Danio rerio: one gene and its partners. The protein of the gene in region 4 interacts with the protein of the main gene of each other region in a biochemical or structural test. Links are inferred from orthologs where the notes say so. Each region holds a gene or a part of one and is shown on either strand. Other genes may lie near its edges.

Region 1 (8,582 bases), on a different chromosome or scaffold from region 4:
ATCCTGTTTTTTTGTTTTGTTTTTTTTTTCATCATAATGTTTGCTGGTCACATGATGTTATTTATGGTGTTTACATGAATGCATGATCATATTTATCACGTGGATTGGCTTGATTAAAAGCATTTTAAGACTTTTCTTTTCAGTTGCATTGTAATGTGCTCGACTTTCAGCTGGTTCGCTCATCTGTTCGGGTTTTCATTGAGAGGTCTAATGAATTTTGTGTAGTTTTCGCAGAAAATTACGCAGTTTCAGTTGGCTTGAATAAAAAAAAAAAGGTTAAAATAGTTTTAATTCCTTTTATTAGGATTTCAATGTTGAAATAAAGGACCATGCTTTATAAACGGTTTAATTTGTATGATTTTATTTTTATTTTGTAAACGTAATCTGACTTCACAACCAATCTAAATGACTGAAAAGGCATTCCCGGTGTATTGTACCAACATGGCTGCCATTCCTTTTACTCCTGAAGCAGTCCCCCCCACTCTCTGTTCCCATGTTGCGGATTTCATATTTGTGGATGTTCAATAAAACCAAAGGGCTTTTAACCTCATTCTCTCTGTATTCTCTAGGTCTCATAACAACAAACTACAGTCATCAGCCTCATAGAATACAACCACATGCTGTTCTAAATAAACTTTGAACATTTAATTCAAGATGGAACTCTTTCCCAGTCAGCCAGCATCGCTCATAGCCACATCGTTTGGTGGAAAATCGGACAGAAAAGCTGTGGGTTTGGATCAGGAATGGACGGTTTACATTTTTGGTTGTTCAAACAATGAGTTTTGACTGGGATGCTGTCCTGGCGGATTTCTTATTGGATTAAACGCCTACAAAAATGTTTTTTTGTGAGTTTTTAAAAACCTTTCGGAATCGCGTTCGCATTATCCAGGACAGCAGGAGTCTATCATGGGTGCACCCGTTGTTTTGTTGTTTTTTTTCTCCTCTCTATTTCATAAGATTCATCATACTACTTCAGAAGTGGAATGTGGGCGCAATGGGCTTATTTGTTTTTAAGCAATGGGGTAGAACAACCTACCTAAAATAAGGAAGCATTGCTTGCGTTGAGGACTGATGAAAGTGCTAGTAGAGAAGGTATCATGTTTGTATAACTTGTCTTTTTTTTTTTTTTTTGTATTACAACTGAAGAAATATTGATGTATATGAAACAAATAAATGGAGGGGACGGGATTCTCTCTTCTACATTGATTAAGATGTCTCTATATTCTTTCCATTTGAAAAGCAGTACCTAATGTAATCCTCAGTAGACCCCCTGAACAATATGCCGATTCATATTTTGGAAAATTCATATTGGATTTCTTTTTAGAATATGGTGTATTCGTGGATAGATTCATGATCTTAACACAACGGTTCATATTTGTGTGTGGGTTGTGTTAAAAGGCGCACAACAAACCACATATTTTCTCATGTTTATAGTTGAGGATATACTAAATACAATAAACTTTTTTTGTTATATTTTTAAGTGCACTTTTTCCATCTTGGTACAGACTTTGTATGGCAATAACCATGTTCATTCTATGATTTTAGGATTATAATATTCTATAAAGTCTTTTTATTTATGTGACTTTCGTATACTTTGCATCATTTGTTTCAAAGCTAGCTGCAATCCCAGATCTATATATTCATAAACTTTAAATAGTAGTTTTAATGAACTGAATTAAATGGGGTGACATGAAGGCTCAGTGGTTAGCTCTGTCCCCTCACAGCAAGAATGTTGCTGGTTCGAGTCCCAGCTGGGTCAGTTGGCATTTCTGTGTGGAGTTTGCATTTTCTCCCCATGTTCGCGTGGGTTTCCTCTGGGTGCTCCGGTTTCCCCCACAGTCCAAAGCCATGCGCTATAGATCAATAAACTAAATGGGCTATATGAACAGCTAGTGTTTTTCAGCCAATGATGAACTTTCAGTGAAAGCTCTATGTGACTATTTTCAATTTTACAGTTTCTTTTACAGCATTAATGTTGTAATTCAGATATAATCAGTTAAATAGCATCCATTTGATTGTAAAAGTGTAAAAAGAGACGAAAAACCGTTTAAACGCAGGTGCCACCATTAGCAGCAGGCTAGCTCAGAAACTCTATTTAAAATACTGAAGTAAAATTAATTTCCATATTTTAAAGACATGGCATGGAAAAATATAGTTTAATGCAGGGCTTCTTGTTTGGTCTGATACCCACTTTTTGTGTCGTATCTCAGGCAAGCAGTGAAGATCGCTGTTTTTTTAATTTTTTTAAAGAAATTAGAAATTTAACTGGCCAATTTTGTATGGACGACAATCTCTGAGGCTGGCTGAATGAAATTAAACGTATGTGTACATTTACCCCATTGGTCGTAGTATTTGAGTGTGTATGGATTTTTCCTAGTACTGGATTGCAGCTCGAAGGGCATCTGCTGTGTAAAACACATGCAGGATAAATTGGCGGTTCATTCCACTGTGGTGACCCCTGATGAATAAAGGGAATAAGCTGAAGGAAAACGAATAAAAATGTCATTAACAATAGGCAAGCTGTGTTACCATCAACGTAAGCTGTTTTTCAAGCCCAAAGAAAGTGTAGTTTCACTTACAAGTTCTACAGTTACATAATTTAAACCGTGAAATGATACATACCTTCCACCAACTTCTATTGTTTATCATTTGTTAGCGTACAATGGTGTATAAATGTTCTGTCTCCATTCAGTAACGTTAAACACGTGGTGTTGTTGCTTCATATCCGTCAATTCTTCACAGAATTTTAAACATCAGAATGCCAAGCGCCATTGACCAATCAGAATTAAACTTAGAGCTCATTTGCCCCTCCCTTAACAGAAAAACATCAAAAAGAGACAGTATATTTTATTAAAAATGAATAATTAAGCTTATCTTACATTTACACAGTCACTGTAGTATTGTTTAAATGTGGGTATAAAACGAAACAAATATTAAATGTGGGTGGAAATGAATCCACAACCTCTCAACAACAACATATGATAAATATATTTACTGAAAGTAAAATAATCCGGCTTTTAAACGTCAACCCAATAAGTCCAACCAGGTATCAGTAACAAAGGGAGACCCAAAATATTCATGTATATTTCTGAAATGTATATTCTGAAAATGTAATGCATTTGTATCTGTTTGAAGGTCATGTATCTTTTTAAAGCCCAAAATATTCAAGTTCATAATCGGCATTCTCAGCAGATCTCGCGATAATGTGTGACCCACGTCTTCACGCCAGCGGTGTGATTTTTCAAAACGGCCCAATAGGAAGATGCTTTTGCTCGAACAGGCCAATCAGATTGTTCAAACCGCGAGTTTAAAGATCTGTGTCATACTTCCTCCTCCACAGTCCTTTGGTTGAAAGTGGTGAGTTCCTACTTTTGCTCGTATTTAAATAGTATGTTAATACCATTATATAAAGATGTATTTATGAAATGTGAATTGATTGTGATGTATTGTTGTTTTATATGTCACGGATATATTTTATTTTCCAGGCTACGACACACTGTGATCAATCAAACTCCATTAAAATGTCTGCTGCAAATGAGAACACCGCTCGACTCACTCAGTTCAAAAACAAAGGAAAAGATGCCACTGTAAGTGACCACTTTGCATTATAGATAACATGCTATAACAGAATAGCATGAAAACAGCATAAAGAGAGTCGAATGTTATTGTTACTTTTTAAATATATCGTATTTCAGATTAGCTTTCATATAAATGTTAAATACTGTAATCTAGGAGCTGAGACGTCGAAGGATCGAAGTCAACGTCGAGCTTCGTAAAGCAAAGAAAGACGAGCAGATTTTGAAGAGGAGAAACGTGAGCAGTTTTCCGGATGAGGCCACCTCTCCTCTCCAAGAGAAAAGCCAGAACTGTCAGGTATGCAGATCAGCCGACTTGCTGCTCAAGATCAGTAAACTCAAGAAATTTCAAATAAGACACTTTGGTTGTTATTACTCTACTTCCCAAATTAGCTGAGCCCCCAAAATGAATACTCTGTCATTTACTCGTCATTTTTAATTTTAACTCTTTCTAAGTTTTGTTGGACACAAAAGTATATATAGTTATTAAGAAGAATAAAGGAAACCTGTAACCTTTGACTTCCATACTAGGAGATACAAATATGGAAGTCAATGGTTAAAGCTATTCCGCTCCCTGTAAAAAAAATAATAATTTGTGTTCATCAGAATATAGAAACTCATAAAGTTTTGAAACCATTTGAGGGTCAGTAGATAATGAGTGTATTTTCATATTGGGGTGAACTATTCCTTTTAAAGATTTAAGGCAAGGCAGGTTTATATAGCACATTTCATACACCGTGGTAGTCCAAAGTGCCTTACTGTACATAAACAGAAATAAAAGAGACAAGAAAATAAAGACCAATAATAAAAGGGATTAATTTTTAAAAAATGTTTTAAGAGTTAAAACAAAAAGACAATAGTGTGATCTGCCAGATGTAGCACAGTGCTTATTCAGTAAAGGCACAGCTAAACCGATGTGCTTTCAGAATAGTTTTGAATGTACCTAATTCGGAGCTTAAATGTTGCTTTAAATATGCAAATGATTTGATTTAAAAATACACTTTTTGCATGTATCTCTACAGCAAAAATGTAAACACTGGTTCAGGTTCAAAAGTTAGTTTCAACTTTTGTTTTTCTGACGCATTAATTCAGAAAATACACCAAAACCGCTAGATATTTTTAATACTTGTAATTTTATTTTTTGAGTAAATATGTATATGTCAAATTTTGTATAAGTGCTTCTCACTGTAAAAAAAATAAAATAAAATAAACTTTAAAATTAGTAAAGTATTTTACAAAAGTACATGAGGCACAAGAAGATAGTTGATGCATATGCACAAGTTTGGCATATGCAAGTGCTGCTGGAATGGATATCCATGGCTTTGTCCTGGATGGGGGAAAATACTTTAGAAATGTATTGCAATTTTAAATCTACAGACATGTGTTGATAACGTGCTAAAATAAACCCTAAAGTGTTTTGGATTTCCTTCTGATACCCTAAAAAATGTAATATGAAAGGCCAAAGGACCAAACTTGCAATATTGAGATGTGCGTTTTTTTTTTTTTTTTCGTTTTTTTTTTTTTTGCCTGTAAGGTCTTGCCTTCAATGTTACACCTCATAAAATCTCCATTCTGTTCATACAGGCACAGCACTGGACAGTGGAGGAGATTGTAAATGGTGTGAATAGTAATAACTTGGAGACTCAAGTCCAGGCCACACAAGCTGCCAGGTAATTCCCAGTAGATTGCTTATACATGTGCAGATAGCTCTATTCATCTCAACTTGTATTTAAGCTTCATTTCTTACACTGACATGCAGGAAGTTGCTGTCAAGAGAGAGACATCCACCTATTGACCGCATAATCAGTGCTGGTCTGATTCCTAAGTTCGTGGGCTTCCTGAGCCTGGTAGACTCTCCTCCTATACAGTTTGAGGCGGCCTGGGCTCTGACCAACATTGCATCTGGAACATCTGACCAGACCAGCGCCGTGGTCCAGGGAGGGGCAATCCCAGCATTCATCAGCCTCATCTCGTCACCACATGCTCATATTAGCGAGCAGGCAGTTTGGGCTCTTGGAAACATCGCTGGTGGGTGCTAAGTAGAATATTTCAGTTAGATCCCTTAATTTTCTTTTTAATGTGGGTGTACAAATTGATTTGTTCTTTTTGTGTTTGTGTGTGTGTAGGTGATGGTTCTGGGTATAGGGATAGAGTCATTAAGCATGGTGCAATCCCCCCCCTCTTGGCTCTGCTGGCTGTTCCTGATTTGTCTGTGTTTCCTGTAAGTTATTTATATAGATGGATTTAAATTGGTTTTAAAGTTATTCTCAGATGGGTGTCCATTGTAATTTGGTAAAAATAATTTTGAGAAATGTATTTATTGCAATATTACAATCTAAGTTGGTTAAAATATTGTTGTTGTTGTTATTATTATTATTATTATTATTATTATTATTATTATACCAAATAATGTGAAGCTGATTTAGACCAATTTACAGATTGAATATCGCAAAAATTTGTCTTTTTATGACTTTTTAAGAAGTTTTAAAAATAACTATTCCTCAGATAATTAAGTATCAAAAACATTTGATAATTAGTGAGGACAACATTTGTAATTAAATAGTGAAAGGCAAATTCCGAATGTTTCAGAATTTGCGCATGAAAATGTAAGAAAACCCCAGACAAATTCATTATATTTTCATGCACAAATTCTGAAACATTTGGAATTTGCCTTTCACTATTTAATTACAATTCTTGTCCTCCGTAATTATCAAATGTTTTTGACCTGATTCTCAAGCAAATAATAAAAATTATCGGTTTAATTAGTTTTGTTCTTGTTTATTTACACTCTAAGCTTAATAGATATTATTATTATTATATTAAATTTATTATAAAGGTATACACTTAAGATTTACTTTAAACCTTGGGCTCTTTTCACAATCCATGCGCAGGGTGCAAACGCATTAGGGCATGTCAGAATCCACTTTTTCTTAAATAATGAGGGAAAAAATCCGCTTTGCGCCATGGCGCATGGTCTGAAAGGGTTCAGCTTATTTTATTAATGAGTTATAGATGTGTTTTGAGAATAAACCAATCAGAGTCTCATCTCTCATTCCCTTTAACAGTGCGTTGCATCGCACCATAGCGCATTTGCTATTTACATGACGTAAGTGGAAAAACTGAGCGTTTCACTAGCAAGAAAACAGTTAAACAGAGCATCTACAGCGCGAGAATGAGAAATGAGCCTCCTTATTAACTTTCACGTTTGTGGATAGGGAAACGTGTCATACGCACCGACATCAATTAGCCTATAAGTAATTAATTTAGTTTAAGCGCAAAGATTAGTTTTAAAACTATTTCTAAAATCTGTTCTAATTTCCAGCAAACAAATAAATGAACAATAATAACGAAGTGTGTTCAAAAACCTGAGTTATATCCTAATACACATGCTACTCCCATATGGTCTGAAACCTGACAGGTGGGCAAATCTAAGCTCGTTTTTAATTAAGCAAATATAAATATGCATATAATACTGCTAAAAATAATACATTATACATTAGCAAATTGTCATGAATGAACTGAAAAAGCCTCCCGGGATGAAGGCATGAAAGTATAGTTTTTATATTAATTTAGGCTTGAAAATAATCTTTTGTAATATTTTTAATCCTTAATATGTATTATATTTTAATTTTTCATATGTAAAGATTTTTGCGTATTGCTCTACATTTTGTGTGTATTAAGCAGTGTGTAAGCGAGGCGCACAACTAACGTGCTCTGCTGGACAATAGACCGGCTTTGTTCAGGTCTATAGAACCGACTATTATAGTTTCTCAAAATAGCAATGCACCTCAACACGCCATCTTTTTTTAGATCAGAACGCCTATGGGCGCACATATGATTGTAAAATAAAATAATTGTGTTTTTTTTTTTTTTTTTTTTTTTACAAATTTGATGACTACAAATTGCTAATTGCAACTTGTAACATTCTCCCTATAAATTTACATTTAGAAAACCTATTAATGTATTACATTTTTTTTTAATCCGTCTATAAGCTTCTACTGGTCCAGAACTCAGCTGCCCACATCATCACTAAACTCTTTTTCACCATATTACCCCCATTTTACAAAATCTGCACTGGCTTCCAATCCAACCTAGAGTCGATTATAAAATCGTCCTGCATACTTTTTAAGGCTATCCATAACCTCACACCAGCTTATTTGTCTGATCTCTTCCATATCATCACTCATTTCTGCTCCCTTAGATCCTTCTCCTCCATACACTCTGTTCCCTCTGCCAAAGCTATTTGGCTATTTGTATTTTATAATCTTCTCTTTTTTTTTTTTTTTTTTTTTTTTAAATATACTGTGGGTTTATTTTTAAATTATTGAATTGTGTATATTTGTTGTACAGTGATCATGGGTTCTTGAAAGGTGTATTGCATAAAACGTATTTAAAATTATTAGCTAAAAAAAATTAAAATAAAGGTTTTTACATGTATTATCTCTAAACCTCAAACAATGTTGTTTTTGGTGTTCAGGACTATTTGTTTTAAACTGTAGTGAGCATGCATTACCGCTAGATGGCGTGAAAGCTGTGTAGAATTACCCTGACCAGCCAGTTTTTCTTCTACAGGCTGGTTACCTGAGGAACGTCACATGGACCTTGTCAAACCTGTGCCGCAATAAGAACCCTGCACCACCTCTGGAGGCTGTGAAACAGATACTACCCACACTCATCTGCCTTCTGCAGCACAGTGACAAAGAAGTGCTTGCGGACACCTGCTGGGCCATCTCTTACCTGACCGACGGGCCCAATGATCGCATTGAGGTTGTGGTGAACGCCGGTGTGGTTCCTCGACTGGTGCAGCTACTGGCATCTGGGGAGCTGTCCATTGTGGTAAGTTGGTGGAAAGTAGTGAACTCTTGAGTTATACGTTTAAAATGGTAAATTTAATAATAACTTTTTTATTTTTTCCTGCCACAGACCCCCTCACTACGTTCTATTGGTAACATTGTCACTGGCACAGATGAACAAACGCAGGCTGTGCTGGAGGCTGGTGCTCTTCCC
Region 2 (7,872 bases), on a different chromosome or scaffold from region 4:
TTGGGTAGGATTAGGAATGTAGAATACGATCGTACTTTATAGGTGCTAATAAACAGTTCATATCTTGATAGTAGTCAGCTAATAAGCCAGTAGTAAATGGTGTGAATTGATACTTAAATTAAATGGCAATACTTTTAGTTGTATGATGAAAAACAAAGAATTTTAGCTCTATTATATTAAGCTGTAGTGTTTAATGAAGTTTTTGAGTTTTTGTTTTCTGTAGACTTGCACTGTTTGTTTATCACTCCTTTGAGCTCTTAGCTGAAAACAGACTGTTGAAGAATACATCTGATTCAGGTCATTATCGAAACTTGCATTACATAACAAAATGATTGACCATTGTGAATGTTTGCAGAATGCGACCAGTGATAACCAGGGCATTCAGCTCAGCGCGGTGCAGGCCGCCAGGTGAGAAACTGCTCCTATTCATCTCTCTAGTGTTTTGTAAGAGCTACCTTTCATTTGGCTTAGTTTGTTTGCTGGAGATTGTGCAATGGGCCGTTTAGTGGGACATGTAGCCTTTATTGCACTAAACATTTACATTTGTAAGCGACTAACAATTGCAATACACACAAGAAAGGCTGATTATACAGCTATACTGTAAGTGCTCTGTGTTGTCACGATACTGGAATTTGGTACCAATCGATGCTGATTTTTTAAAAAGGTCCATTTCCCAAGAACATTTGAGCACGTTAGAAAACACAGCCGATTTGCTATTGGGTTAACGTGCTCAACAGAAATGACTGTAATTGTCCGTGAATGTAATCGGGATACCAAACTCACTGCTGTTTACAGAGTGTAAACACCATAACGGACACTGGAGCAGTTTAAAGCCACGATTCATCAGCAGATCATTCATATGACAGCTTATAAAAGAACCAGCGGATTGATGGGACTTTGAAACACTCCAGTGTCCCTGTATCTGTGGTTACACTTGGTAAACAGCGGTGAGTTCGGTAAACTGATGACATTCACGGCCAATCACAGTCATTTCTATTGAGCACATGAACACCGTGGTAAATCAACAGTGTTCAAGAACACGCTCAACAGCGCTCAAATGTTAGTGGGAGATGTTTTTAAAACTGCAGTATCGATTAGTAGCGAATTCCAGAACTGTGCCACCCTAGTGCTCCGAGATTAAAGTGCTAGAGTTAGAAGGGAAGTTTTTTTTATTTATTTTTTAAATGGGTTTTTACAGGTGGTTTGTCAAGGCCACTCGCATGTGTGAGGCACACTTCATAAATGCACAGATATAGAGATTTTTTTTAGGTGTATTGGGAAATTTGTAACAGTGTCTGGTGCAAGTGTCAGAGATGAGTGTTTTCTGCAGGTGGTTTGTCAAGGCCACTTACCTGTAAGAGGCGGACTGTGATTTGCATAATTTTTTGAGGTTGTTGTGTAAAGGAGATAAAAGGGAGTCCTGGCTTTGTTCACAGGGGTTCAGGTGATAACGAAAGAGATTTTTTTGCATGTGTAAATCTTGTCTGTTGCCACTTGCAGGAAGCTACTGTCGAGTGACCGCAACCCTCCCATAGATGACCTGATCAAGTCTGGCATTCTGCCCATCCTGGTCCACTGCCTGGACAGAGATGACAAGTAAGACCTGTGTCATGTGATCATATGAGACTCTGTTTGGTTTGCATCTGTATTGATCTGGTGTTTCTGTTCTGCAGCCCGTCTCTGCAGTTTGAGGCAGCCTGGGCTCTGACCAACATCGCGTCCGGGACGTCTGAGCAGACGCAGGCCGTGGTACAATCTAGTAAGTTCATCTCAGCCACTGTTTGTTCAAGACTTTCGTTTGTTAGGACTTTTACATGTGAAATTTTTAACTCTGAGTCATCTAAACTCTGTATAAACTGAGTCCTGGGTTATCTGTGGTGGAATGTTCTCATCACATTCCTGACACTGCTCATACTATACCAGGGGTGAACAGTTCAAATAGTTGAATAGTTATAATCAATTTTTACAGTTAATAGTTTGACTTTTTTAATTGTTAGAATATTTTTTTATAAATATAGAAAAGTGGTATTTATAAATGTGGTAAATTTGATCTGTTTTTTTTTTGCCATGACAGCCAAAGAAGCGAGAGGGGTCTGGCTGCAGACTCGGTGCAGTGCAATCTGAGCTGCATCCAATGCTTTTTAATACGCTCACCTAACCCCACCTATCACAGTGACGTCACTCGCTCCATTGAGTGCATTGAGTCTGACATTGCATCGCTGAGTGATGCAATCTCAGCTTGCATCATCAAGGCTGCATTCAGATACTACTAAAGGAACTGAAATGGCAATAAACTCAGTTCTCTCTCTCTCTCTCTCTCTCTCTCACACAGTTAATAGTTTAAAGGCTGATTTATACTTCTGCGTCAAACACCGGCGTATGCTACGGCGCTGACGCATAGCCCATCGCCGTGGCCGTCGCCAACACTGACGTGCACCTCTCAAAAATTCTAACTACACGTCGCAACAACTCGTAGCGCAAGCTCTGTGATTGGTCGGCTTGCTAGCGCCGACGAGTCTGGGCGGGACCGAGAGCCGCGCGAATGGCGCGAGCGATTGTTTACAAGTGTGGAGTCCCGTGAAGGAGCTCCGGATGGAAAGTTTTGTTCTGTGTTTACCTCATGGTTAAAGTTGTTGCACGTCCGCCGGTTCCTGCCTCAAAATGAGCGAGTTTGAGTCACTTGTACATCCAGGAAGTGTTCAGAATAGCAAAACAGAAGCGAAGAAACTCGACACAGAGGAACATTTACACCTCACTGCCCACTAGCGTTTCGGAAGTGTTAATGCAGACCAACGGAGACAGCGCGCAGAAGTATAAATGCACAGCCACGCGCGTTGCCTGCGCCGTGAGTTGCGCCGGTCACTTGACGCAGAAGTATAAACCAGGCTTAAGTCAACAATTTAAGCAGATCAAAACCTTTAAGTTGTCCTAAAACTATTGAATGACACCTATTCTCGTCTAAGGATAGTTATTCATTAACAGACATTTCACACCATACATTCCTAAACCCTGGGTGTTACAGGTGTGAAAAGTATCTTTACCTGAGGTTAAAAACAGCGTTTCGAACGATGATTGTTTGTAAAAAGATTTGCACGTTAGGTAATGAAAGTGTTTTATTATCGCAGATGCGGTTCCCCTGTTCCTGCGGCTGCTGCATTCTCCACATCAGAACGTCTGTGAGCAGGCGGTTTGGGCGTTAGGAAACATCATCGGTAAGTGAACACTTGAATCCTAAAATCTCCATTCAATAACGTAATTTTAAAATTAAAGGAGATTTTGTGTTGTGGGTCTTAAATCATTTCAAACGGGTCTTAATTTTCCTCTGTCCATGCAAAGCTACCCAATCTGGTCAACAATCGCTTGAAATACATATTTTAACGCAAGAGTTATTTTGATTAACTTTACCAGTATAGTTTAGTTATCTTCCTTAAGTGCATGTATACAATTAGAGTTTATGAGAGAGAAATCTAAGAAATAACTAAATTAGAGTTTAGTTTTTTTTTTTTTTTTTTTTTGCGATGGAGCAAGTTAAGATCTTTTGCACTCGGCCAACCTGGTCATTAGTAAAATATTCTTCGCATTTAGTCCTAAATATAGTCTTAAAGTGAATTTAAGTCTTTAACTTTATGAAACCTGCATAAACCCTGCTGGATCAGAGGCTGGTGGGTTGAGGCATAATGTGTCCTCACTACATGCGATTTTATAGGGTATCTTTTTCATATTAAACTAAATTTTGTCCTAACCCGCTGCAACAGCGACGTGTAAAATTTCTATTTTCGCAAAACAACAGCATAAACTGCCATGATACTGATCAGCTCAGGTACTGATTATATGTCTTATTCAGTGTTAAATGCCCCAATCTGAGTTTAAATACATTTAACGTAACGTTTATTGCCAAACTACTGAAAACAGCAGCTTCTAGTTCACCTCAGATCTTGAAGATTAAATAACTAGCAGACTGTTTGAAAATGAAAGTCAGAACTGAGTGCAAACCAACAAGATTAGTTAATCAGCCCCTGTACTATTCTAATGTTAAATACTTGTTCGATTATAAACCTTACCATTTGGTTGGCAGTGCAGTGACTGGTGTTTAAATCTTCTGTCATGTTTAGTTAGGACTGACAAATTGCCTGTTGCTGGAAGCTTGTCATGTACAGTTATAACACTGATGTTGATGAATGAGAGTACTGTGCTGTTCTGCAGGTGATGGTCCTCAGTGCAGAGATTACGTCATCAGTCTGGGTGTGGTCAAACCACTCCTATCCTTCATCAGCCCCTCCATACCCATCACCTTCCTCCGTAACGTCACCTGGGTCATGGTCAACCTGTGCCGCCACAAGGACCCTCCCCCGCCCATGGAGACCATCCAGGAGGTACAAATATGATGCTTATTTTTAAGAGGTGGAAATGGCAGCATTTTAAATGAAATCAAAGCCTCCAAGTTTGTTTTAATTAGAGGGCTCATAATGGTGCTGGAAATCCTTATGTCCTTTCATTTCATTTTTTGCATTTAATGTTTGTTTTTAAATGCCACAGGAATGGAAGTAGGGTTGAAAGCGCTTACATTTGTTGTGCATTTGTCAGTAAAGCTGGCTCTGTAGTCAGCTGTGAATCTCCGGCGCCTGTGTTTACTGCACACAGCCATGGTTGTCTGCCAAACTACACAAAATATCACATGCAACATCATCATGCGATCGTCAAATCGGAAATAATTCTGCGATTAGATCGATATTTGCAGAACTTCTCAATGAACTACGGCCCTTTAAAGTAAACATTGCTCAAGTTAAAGCTGAAAGCACATGCAAATACCACACATAATGGCGTTTTTGCTCAATTCAAACTCTCCACTAAAACTATAAAGTTAAGTCTTTTGGGGAGAATTTTCCACTGATCACATCATTGTAATTCCCTCACATGATGTGCAAGACATTAGCAGCTTTTGCTAAATCGCAGATGCAATTTTTATGTTGATATATCGTTCAGCCCTAAATTGAAGCACTTATAGTTTGGGCAGCTTGTCTAACAAATGTGGCGGGCTGAGCTTTTATAATATTAACAAGTTGATTTAACTTGGGCATAATTTAGTGTTGTCAAGTATCAACTTAAGTACCAATCGCAAAAACGTTTATTTCCTGCTAACATTTGAGCTCATACTTAAACTGCACTGATTGGTTATTGTGCTCGCATGCTTAGTAGAAATGACTGTGATTGGCTGTGAAGGTTATTGGTTTACCACTGTTCACTGAGTGCAAACACTGATGCAGAGTCAGAAAGTGTTTTAAAGATGTTAATGCAGTGGTGGGCAAACTTTTTAGACCCGAGAGCCACATCAAGTATTGCAAACCAAGTGAAGGGCCACAGAAACATGTCACAATAACACAAAAGATTTTTTTTATATTATTAAGTAAAAATAATCATCGTAAAACAATGAAATAATCTCTTATATAATAATAATAATAAAGATAATAATGTAATTTTTTTTTTTTTACAGTGGAGAATAAAAAAGAAATTGTCTGATAGAAAAAATCTCACATTAACACATTAAAAATAATTCTTAAAGTTTACTATTCAGTCAAATTTACTATCTAATTTGCACTGCTTTTACAATATACAGATTAATTATCATAAAACTTGATAAAACCACAAATCTTTGATAAAATACCTTTTTTGAAGTGGTTGTATGCATGGAAAATATATTCTCACTAAAATTAACACTTTTAACCAGCAATTATTAGATAACTTGAGTCCAAATTCACATCATTTGAGCTTGTGTTAATATGCTCACATCAATCATTATAAAACTATGAGACAAAACGGAGGAAGAGTCTTCGTCTTCATTATTACAAGTCATGATATTATGAGTGTGTTAATGTGAACAATAAGCCTGGTCCCCTCTCTTCGCAAGGGTGTCAGTCTGGAGTCTGCTACAGCAAAAACGCGAAGCGCAGCAGGCGGTTAAAACTCGAGGCGTGCAGGATGCAGCAGCGCGCTAAACAAAACCCTCGCGGCTGTTAGTAAACCATTCAAAAGAGGCTCCTGAAGCATAAAGCGCGTCCGGTCATTAACGGTCGAGTGCATTTTTAAATCCGAGAGTGTTCTAATTCTACTGGCTACCGCGTGCAATACTGCCATCACATGGCGTTCACTTGTAATTGCATCATTAATTTACTAATTCTGAACCAAACCTTCTCAGAAGAAGCATTTTAAAAACTCCCTCGCGGGCGTATGAAAGTGTTCAGCGGGCCGTAGTTTGCCCACCTCTGTTAATGTGTAGATAAGTCGCATAGACTGAGGCATTGGGCGTGGCTTACTTAACCACGCCCCTCCAGCTGTCAGTTATAACAACCTGAATTGGTGAGGAGGAGGAGTCTGTTAGGTTGTAAACTTTCCTCAAACTGTTTTCTGAATTAAATCATCCAATCAACTTGCAGTAGAAAAAAAACAAGCCACGCCCACCGTTTTCTCATTTGATATTTCATTTCTTTATAAGCTGCATCAAAATATGAACCAAAAAACAATCACTGCTTCCGGTTCATGCAGACTTTAATGCCAAAACTGAAACAAAAGAGCATTTTAGAGTATTTCCATCGCCTTAATCCCCCACCATGCACTCGTTCTCTCATTTACGTCATGTCTGCTCTGTGTTCTGATGATGTCTCTCTGTGTCCGTGCAGATTCTCCCAGCGCTGTGTGTGCTGATTCACCACACTGATGTCAATGTAAGTTGGAGTTTGCTGTGATGGCGAATGCTCTTCTCTGGAGGCGGATGGTGAATGCTAACTCTTTGCTCTGTGCAGATCCTTGTGGACACAGTCTGGGCGCTCTCCTATCTCACCGACGCTGGCAATGAGCAGATCCAGATGGTCATCGATTCTGGGATTGTGCCATACCTCGTACCATTACTGAGCCACCAGGAGGTCAAAGTTCAGGTATGGATGAGCCTTTAGTTTGCGCAGGGCATGCTCCAAAGGCCTTACAGCTAAAGATATCATTCAAAAAAAATCCTTGAGTGCAAGCTACTTCAATGATAAAGACGATGAGAAGCCTTATTATTTGGGATTGCTTTATTTTTTTTATTCAATCAATCTCACTCTGACAGCCTATCTGAATCCATTGAAATATAAAAGGGCTCATGCAGTTTAAAGCTGCAGATGACATTGTGGAAGAAGCCGTGCATGCTGTATAAAAAAGTACCTCAGGTATCCAGTGCTAGTTTTTGCTTACTCCTTTGAAAATGCTTGAGTAAATAGTTAGTTTTCATTCCACTACTGCGAGTACATGATCGCTAAATTAATTCTAGATGGCTAGCAGCAGCACACTGAGGACATCTGCTGGTCATCTGAAGGATTCATGCCGAATGCAAAAACTTAATAACAAAAAAGAAACAATCAATGTTTATTTTTGTGTCTTGGGCTATTATTATTATTATTTTTTTCTTGCACTGTTGATGCAAGTTTATCATTACCTTTCTATTCATAGTTATAATTGTTGTGAACTGGCTTTAAAATTAAAGGTCCCGTTCTCTTTAAAAAAAAAAAAACTTCTCTGCCATTTTAAAATAAATTATAATGCTACAAGAATATGCGTTACCAGTCTCTTCACAGTCTTTGTTTTGTGGCTTTAGACGGCAGCGCTGCGAGCGGTGGGGAATATTGTGACGGGAACAGATGAGCAGACTCAGGTGGTGCTCAACTGTGATGCTTTGGGTCACTTCCCAGCCCTGCTCACACACCCTAAAGAGAAGATCAACAAGGTAACAAGTGAATCTCACTACAACACACACACAAAGGTCACATCTCACTCCCAAATCTGTAACGCCCCATTCACACGGGGCGTCAGCATCAACGCTTCCCATTCACTTTAAATGGGTGA
Region 3 (3,967 bases), on a different chromosome or scaffold from region 4:
ACATTATTTTGGATGATGAATGAATTTTCAAAAAAGCATTTTAATCCAAAAAGATTGTGTTGAAAAGAACAAAAGGTAAAATAAGTGAGCGATGTAGAAGATTCCCAGAAAGAGCAGGTATACAGCCTTTAAACTGCTAGACAGAAAATAAAATATATATTTATATTATAATAATAAAGCCATTTTATAATTATTTAATAAAATAGTTCTTTACTTTAATTTGTTAAGAGAGCTTTAGGGTGGCAGGATCAATGATGATGATTTTCTTATTTCAAGTCTGTAAGACTTATTTGAGTTCATATTTAGGTTATTCACTAAAATATACACTAAAATATATCATTTAAATCGTTCATGGAGATGAATGCAGTAAATAGTCTGTATAAAAAAGTTTAAAAATAAACCTGTGCAAACAAGCTAACCTTTATAACCAGATTATTTAACAAAAGATGATTACTGCAGTAAAATATTTGTAGTCTTTTAATAAGCAAGATGTGTACAGGATAGAGAGGGTGTGAAAAGTGAATTGTTTGTTTTGAAACTTTTGAATCGGAATTTGTCCAATTATAAACCCGAAATACACGTGTTTGTTGTCATGTGGTGAACTCGGCCAATCGTGTAATATCGGTGTCGTCATCAAAGCTCCTGCAGTCGCTCTTCAGAAGCTGCATGGTCTGAGTTTGCCGTCTGATCTCGGAGCGCTGTCGCGGTACTTTGATGCCACATGTGACAGTCACGTGGCGTCGGCGCAGCATCAATCCGGACAAGATTTCTAACCAGAATGCACCGCTTTAAGACAGATTTCGATCGATCTGCGCAGCGCTGCATGAAGTCGAACGCACCTAATAAAAGAGAGAGAGAGGTCACCAACCTCATCACTGTCCTCACCAGTGCCCGCCCCGAACTCGTGCACACGACCTGCTGATAAACAATTATGTTTATAGACTTTTTAGTTAATGCAAAAATAAATTAACTAACTACATTCCTTTTAAATAAAATAATAACGATTTCTTTATCATTTGATGTTGTGGCTTATTACGACCTTTTATTTTAATGTGATGATGTTGCCACATAAGTCTGTAATTTTGAGCAGGCAGAATGTAGACCCTAGACAGATGACGCGAAGGTCCTGAAAGAAACTGCGCATGTGACGGATGCTGTGCGCGGGAGCTGCTGTGAAGTAGTTGTACGTTCTTTATCATTTTACATTTTATTTGTTGAAGTGTTTTATTTCACCTTGTGATGTGTAATGTGATCAACCTATCTTAAAGTAAGTACATTTGTGATGTAATTGTGGAGAAATCTGCATTGAGTTGGCGTAACGTGAGGAACTGTCAGCTAGCTGTTATCACTGAAGTGAAGCTAAAAACATATCCGTTCTCTTACTATGGCGTTCAATAATATTAAAGAGTCTATCACACGAAATGTTCATATCTAGAGAATTGTACGTAAGTTGCTCAGCTGCTTGCAACAGTTTAGCTATAATCTTATAATAGAGCTCAGTTGCTCATCATAACGCTGTCCCCAAACCCTGAGTGGCTTACGTACACATTTTTGCAATCAAATTTTTAAAGCTCCAAGAACATTTGCGTGTTGTTTGTAATGGTGAATATCTTGACCGTGTGCGTATCTAGATGAAAGGTTTGGTACGTGTTTTAAGCCTATTCCGCATAAGAGCATTACGATCTACAATGATGAGTTAATGTTGGTTAACTTCACACATCCACAACAATGTCTAAGTAACGTTATGATGAGATAACGTTACAATTATTAATTCGTTAAAAGGGGTAAAGTTGGTTTTGTACTTGCACATTCGGACTTTTTCCTTCATTCATTCATTTTTCTTTTTGGCTTAGTCCCTTTATTAATCTGAGGTCACCACAGCGGAATTAACCGGCAATTAATCCAACATATGAGCAATTCCAGCGTTATGGATGTGACATTTGCAGTAAAGCTCAAAACATAAATTCACATAGAAATGATATGTTAACATTATATTAAAACTTCTGTTTATATTTTCAGAATTACTGACCACAGAGTTACGGGACCAGAAAAATATTGATCTGTAAACATGTTTTGTACTTTATATGAGAAAAATAAACATGCAATATGGATGTGACAAAAAAAAAGTCTGCGGGTTTACAGTAGACAACATTCTTTGTAGAAATTCTGTAAACTGCACAACCCAAACAAAACAATGCTAATCAAAAGAATAAAGAGTTGCTCACTATAGAAGTATTTTACAGTACTTTAGAAATACGCAAGAATGCATCTGTTAATATTCTACAATTTCTGACCCGTTACATCTATAACGGATAGGTGTCGTTATGGATGTGACACCTCAACTATGGAAGGACATTTTAGCTTACCCAATTCACCAATACTGCATGTGTTTGGACTGTGGGTGAAACCGGAGCACCTAAAGGAAACCCACCCGAACATGGGGAGCACATCCAAACTCCACACAGAAATGCCAACTGGCCCAGCCAAGGCTAGAACCAGCAAACTTCTTGCTGTGAGGCGACAGCGCTACCCACTCTACCACCGTGCTGCACTTTTTCCTTAATATACTTGACAAATTCTAAATAGGTAAATCATATTAGAAGTGGCTTTCAAAGTACAACATTGATCACAGTCAATTAAATAGTGCTAATGTTGTTTTGAAGTCACGCTTGCATGCTATTTCAGAGGAAATACTCAAAAGTAGCGTGGTAAACAATATAGATAGCGTGCCATAAGTTGTCACTGTTCAAAAAGAATGAATGTGCGAATATAAAATCAACTTTACCTCAATCCATTATTTTTGCTGCTCCAGCTTTATATTAATTAGGAATATATTTCAAATTCATCTATGTGTATGAAGCAGGGTTTAGGCATGGGCCGGTATAAAATTATGTATATTAGTATGATAACCTTGGATAAAAATATCACTGTTTCAAGGTATTGGGATTACTGCGCTAAAATATATTCTTTGTAAATGTCTGGGTTAAAATCAAAAACTTTTTTACCCTTTTGAACATAGTATATCTAACATTTTAAATATTTTGGAACAGTAAACATGTTAGGCCAAATAAATTGACTTCTGCTGTCTTTGTTTGTTTAAATTTAATTTAAACATCTTCTCTGCTGGAGATATTATTGTCCTAAAAAAATCACAAATTAAAAATTGTACACATACCTTAGGAACGGTATTGCAGAAAATTTTGGCTGTTTTAAAACCTTGACTTTTTTCCAACCGCTGTATACCTTAAAAATATCGTCCCATACATAGCAGGTTTTTCACTGGAAATCCTTGAATATGCTTCAATTTTGATCTAGTGTTTTTTGGTGCTTCTGTGGTGCTTTCATAATAATTTGTTTTTAAGTAGGTAATTCTAGCGAACTATTTAAATAATTAGTTTTGCTCTTGCTGTGAGGCGTTCTTTTCACCGTGCTGCTCTGCTTGCGGCAAATATACCATCAAAATTTGTCCTTGAAATACTATACTAAAGTACCACAGAATACTATAGCAAATAGTATCTGGTATATTGTAGTATGAAGTATGTACAGTATGTGTATGTGCATGTTTATATGTAATTTACCACAATTGTATCTGCAGTGTGCTTGAAAATGCTCAAATTTGACTTTGAAAAATGTGTAAGAAGCCTAACAGGATATAAAATCATGAATTGTGTTTTGCTGCCTGACTTTGTAGAATAGAACTATTCTTATAATTAAAAATGATCATGTAGATGTTGACTCTGGATGGTTCATCCTAAGATTAAAACGTCATCATTTAGTCTCCCTCATGTGGTTTTAAACCTTTGAGTTTTTCATCTGTTGAACACAGAAGATAATTTGCAAAATGCTGGTTGCAGGTACCCATTGACTTCCATAGTTGGAAAAAAATGCAGTGCTTAAAGCATTCTTCAAAATATCACCTTTTGTGCTCGAACCGAAGAAAGAAACTCTATAAAGGCTGAGTAGATAA
Region 4 (8,135 bases):
ATCTGCAGGACTGGACTGTATGATTCAAGCCTTTAGTAATGTTCAGTTCAGTAATGTTGCCTCCTGAACAGGTTTGGCTAAAGATTGAGCCTGTAGCATAACACTGATCAGCGATGCGACACAGGATCACGTCAGTCAGTCTGTTCCCCCAAACACCTGAACTTTCATTTGTCCCTGTAAATGAGCATTATAGGCCTGGCTGATCTGTGCTGATACTGTTCAGCAGAACACACACACACACACACACACAGTTGATCGTGTGTTCAGCATCATACACACTCGCTTCAGAAATACATGCCCATGTAGAGGAGCTGTGTGTGTGTGTGTGTGTGTGTGTGTGTGTGTGTGTGTGTGTGTGTGTTCTGGTTGTAATAACTGTGTGTTTTGTGCAGTCTCACATCCAGAGCACATCAGACCGAATCCAGTTCAATGACCTCCAGTCTCTGCTGTGCGCCACGCTACAGGTCAGTGTGTGTGTGAGTAAGTGTGTGTATGTATGAGTGTGTGTTCTGAGCTGTTTGTACTCCTGCAGAACGTGCTGAGGAAGGTGCAGCATCAGGATGCGCTGCAGATCTCGGATGTGGTGATGGCGTCGCTGCTGCGCATGTTTCAGAGCACCGCCGGCTCCGGAGGCGTGCAGGAGGACGCACTGATGGCCGTCAGCACACTGGTGGAGGGTGAGGAGCAACACACACACACACACACCATCATCATCATCATAGACACTCAAACTCCATCACATCTGTCGTTATTGTCATGTGATCAGAGCTGTGGTGTGTCAGTCGGTGTCCGCCGCTGTCTGCTTGGTTCTCTGATTAAGCCAGGTCTTCTGTTTGTTCTCCTCCAGTTTTGGGCAGTGACTTCCTGAAGTACATGGACGCCTTCAAGCCTTTCCTGATTATCGGACTGAAGAATTATGCAGAATATCAGGTAAAGCTGGGGCATTGCGGCGTGAGTGTTGATGATCGTTCCTCCTGCCGCTCAGAGATCATGCGGCTCAGGATTTTAGATCATCATAGAGAAATCTGAGTCTGTTTCACCCGGTGTGTGCCGACCGACGGTCTCCTGTGGCCACGCTGGACTTTGCGGGACTCTACAGCTGTAAACCTGCTGAAAATACCTGGACATAAACCATAAAGCAGAAGTGTTGAACTGTGTGTGTGTGTGTGTGTGTGTGTGTGTGTGTGTGTGTGTGTGTGTGTGTGTGCTGCAGGTCTGCCTGGCTGCGGTGGGACTGGTGTGTGATCTGTGTCGGGCTCTGATGGCCAATATTCTGCCTTACTGTGATGAAATCATGCAGCTGCTGCTGGAGAATCTGGGTGTAAGTACAGCTCCGCTCAGGCCGTGACTGCAGCACACTGCTGGACTACACCAGCTCTACATGCTCCACTGCCGACACTTCCTCTTCTCTAATGCAGAAACAGCGCTAGTCTTTCGTTTCTGTCTTTGTTTTGTACTAATAAAAGTCCAGTTCTGTTGGCGTGTTGAATAGGGCTGACGGTTACTCCATTACCTGCTCTTCTCTTTAAAACTCCTGCATCCTCACATCTCCTGGCGTTAGGGGTTATATAGTGAAGCAGCGCTGGTCAAACTGGGGCTGTTAGCACTGATCAAGCTTCGGCAGACTCTTCTCAGCTGAATGCAGAAGTGTATGAATAGTACACTAACTATGAGTAGAGCGCGAGCCGGCACAGTGAACACTGCGTGATGATGATGATGATGATGATGGTATCAGCTGACGGAAGCGCTGACGTCTCATTCGCCCAGAGCGTCAGTCGTGCAGCTGCTGGAGCTCTTCATCTGAGGAGTTTTGCTCTCGATTTATTTTTGGTTTGGGGCTCTGAAAGGATTTGCCCTACACTGAGGGGCCTTCAGCTGAGAGCCTGTTTTATTTGACAAGATGGCCATGAGGTCAGCAGGGTAGTGAGCTAGTGTGGGGAACGGCCATGATGAGCTCTGGGTCGTGTTCAGATGTGCACTAATACACCACACACATGATCTGTTCTCCACTGTCTCAGTGCTAAAGCTGCGCTTACACTAGTTCAGCATGTAATCGTGTGTGTGTGTGTGTGTGCGCGCAGAATGAGAATGTGCACCGCTCCGTCAAGCCCCAGATTCTGTCTGTGTTTGGAGACATCGCTCTCGCCATTGGAGGAGAATTCAAGAAGTACCTGGACATTGTGCTGGACACTCTGCAGCAGGCCTCGCAGGCACAGGTGGACAAGGTGAGCAGATGAACACACACACACACACACGGCGCTCAGTGTTTGACGATTGTTGTTGAACTTCTGTCTATTATCATCTGTGGTGCTGTGATGTCCTTCAGTCGTGTAGAGCAGACGTTCAGCGCTGCTCTGGGCTATCACTGATCTTAAACAGTTCAATGAGAAGATCTCCAGACCTGACCGCTGACAGCACACACACTGTCTGTCTGTTACACGAGCTGAGCTGTGTGTGTGTGTGTGTGTGTGTGTGTGTGTGTGTGTGTCTGCAGACGGACTATGATATGGTGGATTACCTGAACGAGCTGCGTGAGGGCTGTCTGGAGGCCTACACCGGCATCATCCAGGGCCTGAAGGGGGACCAGGAGAATGTGCACCGTAAGTGAACACACACACACACACACACACACTTCAGCATTGCATGGCGTGTGCGTAATGTGTGTGTTCTCCTGCGCAGCCGATGTGATGCTGGTTCAGCCGCGTGTGGAGTTCATCTTGTCCTTCATTCACCACATCGCAGAGGACGAGGACCGATCTGACGGAGTCGTGGCTAATGCTGTAGGGCTCATCGGGTGAGGCACATACACACACACACACACACACACACACACACACACACACTCGTACAGACAGACATTGTGCAGTAGTCTGACCCCTGTGTGTGTGTGTGTGTGTCAGGGACCTGTGCACCACCTTCGGGAAGGATGTGATGAAGCTGGTGGAGGTGCGTCCTCAGATCAATGACCTGCTGACTGAAGGCCGGAGATCCAAAACCAGCAAAACCAAGACTCTGGCCACGTGGGCCGCCAAGGAGCTGCGCAAGCTGAAGAGCCAAGCCTGGTGCGTGACCTCTGACCCCACAAACCTGCCTGTGTGTGTGTGTGTGTGTGTGTGTGTGTGTGTGTGTGTGTGTGTGTTAAAGCTGTTCACTCCAGTCTGAGGAGCACAGAGAGTGTGTGTTTCTCTGGCCCTCACTCTGCGAGTGTGTGACGTGTTGTTCTCCTGTGTGTGTGTGTGTGTGTGTGTGTGTGTTTCTCTGGCCCTCACTCTGCGAGTGTGTGACATGTTGTTCTCCTGTGTGTGTGTGTGTGTGTGTGTGTGTGTGTGTGTGTGTGTGTGTGTGTGTTCCTCTGCCCCCCACTCAGCATGTGTGTGACGTGTTGTTCTCCTCTGTGTGTGTGTGTGTGTGTGTGTGTGTGTGTTCCTCTGCCCCTCACTCAGCGTGTGTGTGACGTGTTGTTCTCCTCTGTGTGTGTGTGTGTGTGTGTGTGTGTTCCTCTGCCCCTCACTCAGCGTGTGTGTGACGTGTTGTTCTCCTGTGTGTGTGTGTGACGTGTTGTTCTCCTGTGTGTGTGTGTTCCTCTGGCCCTCAGTCAGCGTGTGTGTGTGACGTGTTGTTCTGTGTGTGTGTGTGTGTGTGTGTGTGTGTGTGTGTGTGTGTGTGTTCCTCTGCCCCCCACTCAGCATGTGTGTGACGTGTTGTTCTCCTCTGTGTGTGTGTGTGTGTGTGTGTGTGTGTGTGTGTGTGTGTGTTCCTCTGCCCCTCACTCAGCGTGTGTGTGACGTGTTGTTCTCCTGTGTGTGTGTGTGACGTGTTGTTCTCCTGTGTGTGTGTGTGTGTTCCTCTGGCCCTCAGTCAGCGTGTGTGTGACGTGTTGTTCTCCTGTGTGTGTGTGTGTGTTCCTCTCAGCGTGTGTGTGTGACGTGTTGTTCTCCTGTGTGTGTGTGTGTGTGTGTGTGTGTGTGTGTGTGTGTGTGTGACGTGTTGTTCTCCTGTGTGTGTGTGTGTGTGTGACGTGTTGTTCTCCTGTGTGTGTGTGTGTGTGTTCCTCAGCGTGTGTGTGACGTGTTGTTCTCCTGTGTGTGTGTGTGTGTGTGTGTGTGTGTGTGTGTGTGTGTGTGTGTGTGTGACGTGTTGTTCTCCTGTGTGTGTGTGTGTGTGTTCCTCTCAGCGTGTGTGTGACGTGTTGTTCTCCTGTGTGTGTGTGTGTGTGTGTGTGTGTGTGTGTGTGTGTGTGTGTGTGTGTGTGTGTGTGTGTGTGACGTGTTGTTCTCCTGTGTGTGTGTGTGTGTGTTCCTCTCAGCGTGTGTGTGACGTGTTGTTCTCCTGTGTGTGTGTGACGTGTTGTTCTCCTGTGTGCGCAGATCTCCGGCTGTGGAGTTTCTTCTTCTTCTTCTACCAGGACAAATGGAAATGAAAGCCCTGCGGTTCTTCTGTCTTTTAGAGCTGTGGACAGAAGTGCTTGTGCGCTGATGAGTGTGTGTGCGAGTGTGAGAGCGAGTGTAAGAGCGAGAGATTGACACACACCTTCAGTCCAGCTCCAGCAGAGGAACAGCGGCACACACCTCCACCTTCTCCACCTGCCCGCGTTCTCCATCCTGACCCGATCCTCCCCCCGGCCCGATCAGCTGCAGGACTGACCGTCACACACTGATTAGCAGACGGCGGCCGCGGGAACCTGCTGCTGGAGCCATGATGGCGTGACTGGAGTGTGTGTGTGTGAGTGAGCGAGGGCGGCGCTGTTTCCGCGTCGTCTCTCAATATTTCAACCAATAATAAATAAAGGTGATCAATATCTTGTTTGCGATTGAGTGAGCTGCTCTTGCGTTCCCTCGGCGAGCGGCAGTGGAGGCGTCCGGCCTCTCGTCACGGCTGCGCTACATTACTGGCCTCCTCCTCCTCCTCCTCCTCCTCTGTGTTTCTTTAATAATAGTGCTGATTGAGTAATGGTTCTCTTACCGGTGTGTGTTAGTATGGATGTGCGGATCGGAGCTTCACCTGCCCTGCCTAGGGAAGACTATTGCCACTACAGGCGCAGGCTCCGGCGGAGCGACGGGATATTAGACACCTCCACACGCGACTTTATTCTCCTTTATTTGTTTTGCAGGAAACTGAGTGCCAAACCCAGCGGTGCAGATGGACTTGAGCTTAATGTGTTACTCGTAGAAGATGCGAATTAATAATACACACGTCAGCGGCGGCGAGCCGAGCAGCATCCATGTGCTTTTGGTTGTAATTTTTTGTTTTGTTTTCCTCTTGCGGCACTTAATTGGAGTCATTCACCGAGCTTTTAAGAAGACGACGACGGACAGAATCAGACATTTGTATGAGGTTATATTTTTCCATTGATATGAAAATAAAGTTAAATTAAATCTTTCTGCTGTGTGTGTGTGTGTGTTGTGTCTTCAATAATGGCACATAAATGAGCAGCACACGTCCACAAGACCAGTTCAGGAAAATAATTTAATAATAAATACATTTAAATAGAACATTACAGCGCACCCACAGGGCACAACATGTGTTAAACACACAACATGTGTCGGTCAACATGTGTTAAACACAACATGTGTCGGCTACCAAAATAACAAATGTTCAAAACAATAAATATTAAATATATAAATATGTAGCGAAAGTCATGGTGTGTGTGTATGTGCGTGCAGTTAGCATTGAGACACACTGATGCAGCGCAGGCTGCGGAACACGTCCTGCATGAAGCTGCGCAGCTGCCGGAGTGTCGCGCGCACACGCACCTGCAGCTTGAACTGGCTGAGTGGAGCCGAGAGAGTGTGTGTGTGCGGCAACACCTGAGGACCAGCAGAGGGCACCTGGAGGAGGAGCTGCAGAACACAGAGCGCATTACACACCAGTACACACTAATACCAGTCAGTAATACACACACGCTCACCACTGTACACTAGTGTCAGTCAGTAACACACACACACACACTCACCAGCGTGCGCAGCTCTGCGAGGTCGTTCAGTAGGTTCTCTGGGCGGCAGGGCTCCAGCAGCTTCAGCAGGACTCTGTGATGAAGCTCCAGACCGATGAGCATCCGCTGCACACGCTCCTCCTGCACACACACACACAATGTTAGACACACCACTATACACCTACAAACACTGCACACACATGCAACATAAGTGTGTATTTACAGGTGTTAGTGTGTATTTACCAGTGTTAAATCCTCAGATTTGAGCAGCGGCAACGTCGGGATCTGGAACTCACTGGATAAAAACTCCTCAGTGGAGGAACTCAAACCCTGCACACACACACACACACACACACACACACACACACTTACGTTAGGAGAACAGCTGTTACTGTTGGAGCATCTCTAACCATGTGTGTGTGTGTGTTCAGTGTGTGTGTGTGTGTGTGTGTGTGTTGGGGGATGCTCACAGTGTTGGGTGCGCAGAGCTCCTGCACAGCTGGAATGTCGTTTAGGATCTTCTTGGCCAAACTCAAGGCTCTCAGAGTGTGTTCAGTGTGTGTGTGTGTTAGCTGTGGCTGTAGGGGCACACACAGCAGCTGGCACACACAGAGGTGCAGCAGAACTGAGGAACATGAAGGAGAAAGATGATTATCCTCCATCAGACAGTATTACTGCATTATAAGACAGAGAGCAGGTCACTGAGTCTCCTCATGATGACTACAATAATCATCACAATGATCAATAATAATAATAATCATCGTCACAATGATCAATAATAATCATCATAATCTTCACAATGATCAATAATAATAATAATCATCATCACAATGATCAATAATAATAATAATCATCATCACAATGATCAATAATAATATTAATATCTCACGGAGGCAGCAGGTCTTCATGGCGGCTCGCCGGTGCTCGGTGTCCGGTGTTGGGTGCTGCTGTGCGGATCTGGAGGCTTTTAAAGAGCCTGATTGTTCAACTGGGGAAACTTCCATGACTGATCGGCGTCGCGTTATTGCGTCTGAAGCGTTGCGAAAAACACTGACAAAAAGAAGGAAACAGTCAGTCAGTCCTCGGGGTTACTCGAGCCGGTGTTTACCGGCGGATGCTCTTCCTGAAACACCCACCCACGCACACACACACACACACACACACACACACACACGTGGCTCACCTGCACCGCGTGTCTACGCTGGCGAACACCGGGAGCGCATGCGCACTCGGAGCCCGCAGGACTCCAACCGCAGACCTGCCGCCGCTGCACCGGGAATAAACCGCTCCGTCACTCATATCGCCGTTCACACCGGTACACAGAGCGTTATTGAGCGGGGATTAAACGCGGATTAGAGCTTCAGATCCCGGGAATTCTGCAGTTTCGTCAGAGCAGGAAGCAGAAGCAGAAACCGCAGCAGCAGAGCCCCAATGACGCCCGGAGCCGCGTCACAGCCGCGTTGAGCAATCCGCCGTTTCCCCGCCACTGATGCGGGATTATTACAGCACTGCTGCAGGCGAGACTAATGATGGAGCTGTAATGAGGCTTTATGGTTATTCACTACACTTCCTCCTCCATCAATCAGTCTAAAATAATCAATAATCATGAGGAGACCGGGCCGGGTCAACAACATTTTGGGCCCCGCGGCTGCAGCAAACCCAAGGCAGGGGCCCGTGTATTTCACCACCTCACATCAGTTTTTTTTTGTAATTATTATTATACTTATTAATATTGTTATCTAGGGGCGAGGCAATGGCGCAGTGGGTAGTGCTGTCATCTCACAGCAAGAAGGTCGCTGGTTCAAACCTCGGGTCAGTTGGTGTTTCTGTGTGGAGTTTGCATGTTCTCCCTGTGTTCGCGTGGGTTTTCTCTGGGTGCTCCGGTTTCCCCCACAGTCCAAACACATGCGGTACAGGTGAATTGGGTAGGCTAAATTGTCCGTAGTGTATGAGTGTGTGTGTGTGAGAATGTGTGTGTGGGTGTTTCCCAGAGATGGGTTGCAGCTGGAAGGGCATCCGCTGCGTAAAAACTTGTTGGATAAGTTGGTGGTTCATTCCGCTGTGGTGACCTTGGATTAATAAAGGGACTAAGCCGACAAGAAAATGAATGAATGAATATTGTTATGTAATTTTCAAGCAGGCGGTTCATTCCGCTGTGGCGACCCCAGATTAATAAGAGGGTAAAGGCCGTGTACACTAGTGC

The links.
Region 1: the proteins of kpnb1 (region 4) and kpna2 form a complex in vitro, tested with the Homo sapiens proteins (6 studies listed by BioGRID and IntAct, with this or other methods). The link is inferred for Danio rerio from reciprocal best matches to the Homo sapiens genes KPNB1 and KPNA2.
Region 2: the proteins of kpnb1 (region 4) and kpna4 form a complex in vitro, tested with the Homo sapiens proteins (2 studies listed by BioGRID and IntAct, with this or other methods). The link is inferred for Danio rerio from reciprocal best matches to the Homo sapiens genes KPNB1 and KPNA4.
Region 3: the proteins of kpnb1 (region 4) and nup62l form a complex in vitro, tested with the Homo sapiens proteins (2 studies listed by BioGRID). The link is inferred for Danio rerio from reciprocal best matches to the Homo sapiens genes KPNB1 and NUP62.

Annotation. Positions count from the first base shown.
Region 1 is NC_133178.1:24,115,707-24,124,288, reverse strand, and holds the start of kpna2 (importin subunit alpha-1), read left to right. Parts: upstream 1-3,336; 5' UTR 3,337-3,388; intron 3,389-3,485; 5' UTR 3,486-3,521; coding exon 3,522-3,587; intron 3,588-3,732; coding exon 3,733-3,873; intron 3,874-5,159; coding exon 5,160-5,245; intron 5,246-5,334; coding exon 5,335-5,603; intron 5,604-5,701; coding exon 5,702-5,796; intron 5,797-8,147; coding exon 8,148-8,411; intron 8,412-8,498; coding exon 8,499-8,582. Other genes in the region: nucleosome-remodeling factor subunit BPTF, read left to right, coding at 570-606.
Region 2 is NC_133190.1:1,645,991-1,653,862, reverse strand, and holds part of kpna4 (importin subunit alpha-3), read left to right. Parts: intron 1-355; coding exon 356-408; intron 409-1,500; coding exon 1,501-1,596; intron 1,597-1,673; coding exon 1,674-1,759; exon of another isoform or gene 1,760-2,338; intron 2,339-2,885; exon of another isoform or gene 2,886-3,125; coding exon 3,126-3,212; intron 3,213-4,203; coding exon 4,204-4,373; intron 4,374-6,674; coding exon 6,675-6,719; intron 6,720-6,797; coding exon 6,798-6,929; intron 6,930-7,624; coding exon 7,625-7,753; intron 7,754-7,872. UniProt on the Homo sapiens protein: Functions in nuclear protein import as an adapter protein for nuclear receptor KPNB1. Binds specifically and directly to substrates containing either a simple or bipartite NLS motif.
Region 3 is NC_133189.1:11,190,108-11,194,074, forward strand, and holds the start of nup62l (nucleoporin 62 like), read left to right. Parts: upstream 1-1,167; 5' UTR 1,168-1,183; exon of another isoform or gene 1,184-1,267; intron 1,268-3,967. UniProt on the Homo sapiens protein: Essential component of the nuclear pore complex. The N-terminal is probably involved in nucleocytoplasmic transport.
Region 4 is NC_133194.1:51,607,601-51,615,735, forward strand, and holds the end of kpnb1 (importin subunit beta-1), read left to right. Parts: intron 1-392; coding exon 393-464; intron 465-532; coding exon 533-677; intron 678-847; coding exon 848-930; intron 931-959; exon of another isoform or gene 960-1,101; intron 1,102-1,213; coding exon 1,214-1,321; intron 1,322-2,081; coding exon 2,082-2,225; intron 2,226-2,494; coding exon 2,495-2,600; intron 2,601-2,679; coding exon 2,680-2,794; intron 2,795-2,900; coding exon 2,901-3,062; intron 3,063-4,367; coding exon 4,368-4,368; 3' UTR 4,369-5,380; downstream 5,381-8,135. Other genes in the region: csf3b (colony stimulating factor 3 (granulocyte) b precursor), read right to left, coding at 5,664-5,840, 5,954-6,073, 6,176-6,262, 6,403-6,557, 6,822-6,840.